Nothobranchius furzeri: one gene and its partner. The main gene of each other region encodes a partner of the protein of the gene in region 2 in a complex. Links are inferred from orthologs where the notes say so. Each region holds a gene or a part of one and is shown on either strand. Other genes may lie near its edges.

What was found. Proteins that work in one complex are often made in the same cells at the same time.
Region 1: trappc8 (region 2) and trappc12 share a complex: the UniProt entries of both Homo sapiens proteins name them as parts of the multisubunit TRAPP (transport protein particle) complex. The link is inferred for Nothobranchius furzeri from reciprocal best matches to the Homo sapiens genes TRAPPC8 and TRAPPC12.

What each region holds. Positions count from the first base shown.
Region 1 is NC_091758.1:44,447,369-44,450,714, forward strand, and holds the end of trappc12 (trafficking protein particle complex subunit 12), read left to right. Parts: intron 1-1,207; exon of another isoform or gene 1,208-1,394; intron 1,395-1,526; exon of another isoform or gene 1,527-2,033; intron 2,034-2,349; coding exon 2,350-2,437; intron 2,438-2,501; coding exon 2,502-2,744; downstream 2,745-3,346. UniProt on the Homo sapiens protein: Component of the TRAPP complex, which is involved in endoplasmic reticulum to Golgi apparatus trafficking at a very early stage.
Region 2 is NC_091756.1:54,984,048-54,987,700, forward strand, and holds part of trappc8 (trafficking protein particle complex subunit 8), read left to right. Parts: intron 1-505; coding exon 506-606; intron 607-1,605; coding exon 1,606-1,711; intron 1,712-1,901; coding exon 1,902-2,033; intron 2,034-2,138; coding exon 2,139-2,363; intron 2,364-2,724; coding exon 2,725-2,830; intron 2,831-3,653. UniProt on the Homo sapiens protein: Plays a role in endoplasmic reticulum to Golgi apparatus trafficking at a very early stage. Maintains together with TBC1D14 the cycling pool of ATG9 required for initiation of autophagy. Involved in collagen secretion.

The sequences.
Region 1 (3,346 bases), on a different chromosome or scaffold from region 2:
TGAAACAACTCCTTTTGGAAAACATCGTCGTCGTCGTCTTCCTCCGCTTATCCGGGTCCGGGTTGCGGGGGCAGCATCCCAACTAGGGAGCTCCAGGCCGTCCTCCCCCCGGCCGCCTCCACCAGCTCCTCCGGCAGGACCCCAAGGCGTTCTATGGCGTTTAAAGCGTGCCACAACCCGTGCACGCGCATTGGGTCCACAGCGCGCGTGTGAACGGGACTCGCGAGCGGAAATATACATGGCGAGAGGTCATTTGTGCACTGAGAGGGAGCAAACTGTGTCTGTGAGCGCACAAGGATGTGCACAAGTGACAAACCTGCGTGCGCGCGTTGTCAACGAGCACACGGCAGAGGAAAACGTGCGCGCGCGGCAGCCTCTCTGCGCGCTCGGTTTCTGACTCCTGCTCGCTCGGCTGTAAGGGCTTTTGGCACTCTGGAGGCGTGGCCTGTGGCAGATCTTCTCTGTCCTCTGATTGGTTAGTTCACCCCACACTTTACCCTCTATCTATATAAAAAAGTCTGAGATTCAGTAGTTGCTGGCATAGCTCAGCTGGGAGAGCGGGTGACTCTCGCCCCGGAGGATCCAGGTTCGAGTCCGGGCAAGGAAAATGTCGTAGATGTCATGTTAATTTTTCTTAATTTCAGGTATTTTACAGTTGTGACCGTTCAACTGTCATTAAACGTCCGAATGTTTGCTGGGCAGTGTTTTAAAAAGTGCACATCAGCTAGATGGTTTTAACCATATAAAATTACATTTTTTGTGGAGAGAGAGAGAGAGAGAGAGAGAGAGGTGTTCTTGTCTCATTAATGAATTGTTTATTTTTTTCAGTATTTAATTGACGAATTATCCTTTCAAATAATTAATTGATGAGTTACATAATTGTCCATTTAGAATTGTTGAATGGACTGAGTCAAGTTTGGTGCACTTTATATATTTCAAAACATGTTTTTTTTTATTTTAATGATGCATATAAATAATTTAAATGTTAATTTAATGAAATATTTCTATTTTTTCATTACCTCACCCTTGTTTTGACAAAAACGGGACCTTGCTGGATAATATCATGGAGAAACTATTTGTTCACAGTACATGGCTCAGTGAGGATCTGTGTACCAAAGGAGGAGATACTCAGAAATCTGTCTGCAGATTGTTACAACCCAGACTGGAAGTGGTGGGCTGTAATAAGAAAGGAGACCAAACAGAGGAGTGGGGGTTCAACAACTGATTTATTTAACCAAAGTAAGGATTTACTAAAGCAAGTTAGTGAACAGAAAATGGCCAGTGAGGACTCTCCACCACACAGGAGAGACCCAGTGAAAGCAGAAAAACAGTAGGCTTTGTAGGCAGCACCACACCCTGAGCCCAGGTGCCTCCAAGGCTGCTTAACCAGCTGCCTACAACAGAAGAAAAACACAATTAAACACAAATGAAAACCCAATGAGACGGTGGGGGCATCACAACACGTTCAGGACTACCCAAACACCAGTAATTCTTGACTGCACTGATCTGCTTTAGTAAATCCTTACTTTGGTTAAATAAATCAGTTGTTGAACCCCCACTCCTCTGTTTGGTCTCCTTTCTTATTACAGCCCACCACTTCCAGTCTGGGTTGTAACAATCTGCAGACAGATTTCTGAGTATCTCCTCCTTTGGTACACAGATCCTCACTGAGCCAAGTACTGTGAACAAATAGTTTCTCCATGATATTATCCAGCAAGGTCCCGTTTTTGTCAAAACAAGGGTGAGGTAATGAAAAAATAGAAATATTTCATTAAATTAACATTTAAATTATTTATATGCATCATTAAAATAAAAAAAACATGTTTTGAAATATATAAAGTGCACCAAACTTGACTCAGTCCATTCAACAATTCTAAATGGACAATTATGTAACTCATCAATTAATTATTTGAAAGGATAATTCGTCAATTAAATACTGAAAAAAAATAAACAATTCATTAATGAGACAAGAATCTCTCTCTCTCTCTCTCTCTCTCTCTCTCTCTCTCTCTCTCTCTCTCTCTCTCTCTCTCTCTCTCTCTCTCTCTCTCTCTCTCTCTCTCTCTCTCTCTCTCTCTCTCTCTCTCTCTCTCTCTCTCTCTCTCTCTCTCTCTCTCTCTCTCTCTCTCTCTCTCTCTCTCTCTCTCTCTCTCTCTCTCTCTCTCTCTCTCTCGTGAAATGGTGGATTTATCACAGATTTGAGCTTAATGCCTGTAAAAGTGACTGAGCTGCAACCGTTTGGTTTAAGTGTGTCCACTGGCCCCTTGGTGCACCAACAAAAACACCTTCAGTGAGTTATAAAAACACCGTCTTCCTCCCCAACGATGATCTGTGTGTTTCACTCCTCAGGGCCTTCGTCTACCTCAGTCAGAACAGCTACGCCGAAGCACACGCCTCCTTTTTAGAAGTGCTGAAGATCGACCCCCGACACCCCGTCGTGAGTGAATGCAGCAGGTTCGCTTTAGTTAAAAAGCAACGATTTCACACGTCTCTGTCTGCAGACCAACAACAACGCAGCGGTCTGCCTCCTATACCTGGGCCGGCTGAAGGAGTCCCTGGGTCAGCTGGAGGGCCTGGTGCAGCAGGACCCCGCCCTCTACCTCCACGAGAGCGTGCTCTTCAACCTGACCACCATGTACGAGCTGGAGTCGTCCCGGAGCACGCAGAAGAAACAGGCGTTGTTGGAGGCCGTGGCCTGCCGGGAGGGCGACAGCTTCAACACGCAGTGCCTCAAACTGGTCTAGACCGGAACCGGGGTTTAATCCTGGGAAAACCGGAGTTCCTACATCTGCATCAACACGTTGGCTTGTTATACAGATTAAAAGGAGTTGTGTTTGCTCTGCTGATCCTAAAGCTGCAGCAGAAAAGAATCATGGAGCTAAAACAAACTTCTCTCTGTCTGCTTACGTGTGTAAAGATTCCAGTTTTACAGGAAGTGAACCTCAGATCTTTAGCCGAGCAGCAAGTGAGAACTGCGGAGGGTTGTGGGGTGGACCCAAGTCGCTGCGGCGGGAATCTGGAGGAGGAACTCGCCGCCGTACAGGAGCATCCATCGTCCTCCACCTGGCAGCGGTGTCGTGCTCCACTCAGGAGGTCATGATGGACAAGACCTGAAACTGCAGCAGCAATCGGACTTATTTATCCAGTCTTGTGCTGCTTGTTGCTTCAGAACTAGCCTGAGGACTTTAAGTCATCACAAGAGCAGGATCAAAGGCTTCAAGCTTCTCAAATGTTCCTCTGAATTCAGAAAAACGTTTAAAAACCACTGAAGTCTCGTTGTTTGGCATCATGACGACACTACAGGAGCTGCTGGCTCTTAGAGCGGGACCGCGTGGGCATTACCCTG
Region 2 (3,653 bases):
GATACAAGCGGCTGAAATGAGCTGACCTGCTAGACTATGCCTCTCAGCTGGCCAGGGAACGCCTTAGGATTGCCCGGAGGAGCTGGCTTAAGTGGCTGGGGAGAGGGTCTGGTCTGGGCGTCCCTGCTTAGGCTACTGCCCCATGACCCGGCCCTGGATAAGCAACTGAAAATGGGAAAAAAATGAGAGATTTAAAAGCAAAAACTGTCTTTTTAAATAAAAAAATGCTTTATTGCTGTAAAGACACTGACGCCTGTCACTGACTCGATGCAATCTGCTGGGTTCCTTATATAGGAAACGTTTTACTGATTTTGTCTTAATGAACTGAACTGTATTGGAATATTTACAGTGTGAAGTGCCTTGAGATGACTCTTGTTGTGATTTGGCGCTGTATAAATAAACTGAATTGAAAAATCTTCTTTTTTCCTCTTGTGTGTAAAACTAGATGAGACTTCTTCCTCTGTGCGTTTCTGTTCTGACATCTGTCATGTCATGTGTCCTGTAGGAGATGGCTGCAGTGTCGGCCTTTCTGCAGAGTGGAGCCCCCAGACCGTACCCGTCGCATTACATGGACACAGCAATACAAACCTACAGAGATGTCTGCAGGTACGAGCAAGTCACACACACACACACACACACACACACACACACACACACACACACACACACACACACACACACACACACACACCAGTCTGCCTGCTGTTTACTGTTGCACAGTTTCTACTTACAAAGTGTGTTAGGGTTGTTGTACTGGTAACAAACCATTCTGATTCAGCCAATGGGCTTAGATACTTTAGATACACATCTAACAGGTTCGATCAGTGCTCCTTTCATCTTATTCTTTACCTGCCAGGGCAGAACAGGATGAGAGGAAGTGAATTTCTCTACATCAAACAGCTACTTCAGTAAAGCGTGCAAGCTCTGCAACAAAGCAGGTTCTGATCGCTCCATTGATGGCTCTCGGTGAAAATACATATTTTTTTCTAAATGGACTTAAATACATCTATCTACTCCTGATTCTAATAAAGCCAGAGTCCAAATAATCCAAAATTGATGTAAAAGCTATTCCAAACGAGCTGTCGCCATCTTGTTCCACTCTGTTGCATCATCCCGCCCTCCAGACGAATAGAGGGTCCTGACTGGCCCACAAAGCAGATAAAGCGCAGTGATTGGTTCATAAAGTAGATAGAGTGCTATGATTGGCCCACCATTATAGACCAATCACAGCTCTCTGTGTTTGAAACCCCTCTAGAGAGCTGTGATTGGCCAGCCAGAATGCTGCTAGGGGCTGCAGAGGTTCCAGTGGAGCGTTTCTAGACCAAACTGTGCAAAGCAAGCATTTGGTCTAGTTCACTAGGCTAGAAAATCGTATTGCAGTAGTGGAAACACTGAACCAAAAGCATGAACAAGTACCTCCAGCTCAGGACATGACGCAGTAGAAGTGAGTTTAGCCATATTACGATAGAAGAAGCCATCTGAGTCACAGGTAACACCACAGAAGAGCTTGTTAAAGATTTTAAAAAAATGTTTGTTCTGTTGGTCCAAACTCCCACACTGGGCTGCATACTGACCTGTGAAATCAGTGTTTCGTGTCCCCAATAGGAACATGGTGCTGGCGGAGCGGTGTGCTCTATTGAGCTCTGAGATACTGAAGAGTCAGGGAAAATACTCAGAGGCTGCAGCGCTTCTCATTAAGATGACCAGTGAGGTGAGAAAACATTGTTTCTGTTGGGGATTACAGCTGTAGTAAAGTGCATGTTGGTTGTGGACGTTTAGCTGTTTTAGCAGTGATTAAAATCAGAGAAATCAAGTGTGTGTGCGCGCGTGTGTGTGTGTGTGTGTGTGTGTGCGCGTGCGTGCGTGCGTGCGTGCGTGGGTGTGTGTTTTTCCCCCTGCAGGACTCTGACCTACGCAGCGCTCTGCTGTTGGAGCAGGCAGCCCACTGTTTCATTAACATGCGTAACCCAATGGTGCGCAAGTTTGCCTTCCACATGATCCTGGCTGGTCATCGTTTCAGCAAAGCGAGACAGGTAAGCCTCGCACCTGTTCTACGTTCTCTACTACTTCTGCCTTATTGATTCTGTTGTTGGTTCACAGACGTGTCTCACCTTGTCTCTTTCTGTTTATCTCCAAAGACGAGACACGCTCTGCGCTGTTACTGCCAAGCCATGCAGGTGTACCAGGACAGGGGCTGGTCCTTGGCAGAAGATCATATCAACTTCACCATTGGCCGCCACTCTTTCACACATGGTCAATCAGAGGATGCTGTGATGGCTTTCAGACAAATCTTGATCAATGACAGCCGACAGACGGCCACACAGCAGGCTGCCTTCCTCAGAGAGTACCTCTACGTGTACAAAGTAAGTCCTAAATACTGCTCCTAGTTTGGTGAGCTAAGCTTCGGCACATTACATAATCGGAGAGTTAATAATCCCTAATCTGACATCCTGTTTGCTGTTGTTCAACTAACATCATTGCCTAGTAGCGTAACTGATCTATCATTCCCTTTAGCTCAGACCAACTGGAAAAATCAGCAACAATGTCAGTCAGGCAGTTTACTCTGTGTATATGGATCAGTACCGTCAGTCTCACATCTGCTCAGGTCCAATCCTGACCTCTGGATGCTGAATGGGGCTGGTCCCAGCTGTAGATTTAGTGAAATTAGAATATTGTCATTATATTTTATAGGAAGAAATTAAATAACATGTTTTTTTTTTTAAGAGTGTGAATGGAGAAAAGAAAGGATGCCTCCCTGAGCTGCCGCTGCCCTACATCCAGAGCTCTACTACCAGGGTCTTCTTTGGACACGAGCGACGCCTCGCAGAAGGTAGCGCACAGATTCATCACTTTTCTCATTCCGTCCTTCGTCTCCTTCACGTCCATGCTGCTGTGCGAGTCATGTGACCCGGGCTGGGAGCTGAACATGGAGACATCTAGACTAACAGACGCTGAACTGAAGTGGCAGCTTCAGCTACATTAGAACAAGCTGTTAGTCCTCTCTGAACTCTAAACCAGAAGGCTGCTGCTGTTGAATAATCATCTAATTATTAATTACCGTAAATCCTCTAATACAGGCCCGGGCCTGTATTTGACTCAAGCTCCAGACCTTTATTGGAAGGAGGACCAGAATTAGAGGCAGGCCTCTATTTCTATTTGAGCAAAATGAACTAATGGTTCACTGGAGTTTTTGACAATTAAAATTGCGCCCACATTTTCAAAGTTAAAAACATTTTTTTTAACAACGGTAGTTTCTGCTTCAGCCATCTCCCCCCTCCCCCTGCGCTGCGGCCGCAAACTCACTGATGCGCCTGCAGCCTCTCGGAGTTCCTGCTGCTCTAAACATTAAAATAATTATTTCATTTTCTCTTCCTCACTTCTGATTACCTTCAATGGTGTCTGTTTGTTGCAACCAGCAGGTACAAAAACTAACTTGTTTTTATTTGACTATTTTTCTGTCCTGTCTGTTTATTATCTTCCTGCATCTCCTCTCAATCCTAAAGAAAAACTGCTACCTGGGTTCATATATATTCACCTCATGAGTTACCTTTGAACTGCAGTTCTAAAAGATCTACCGACCGCAAAAACAGCGGAGTGCTCGCTGCTTGCCGGCCGCATCAGTGATCGGTGCGCCACCGGAGGACAAGGTGATG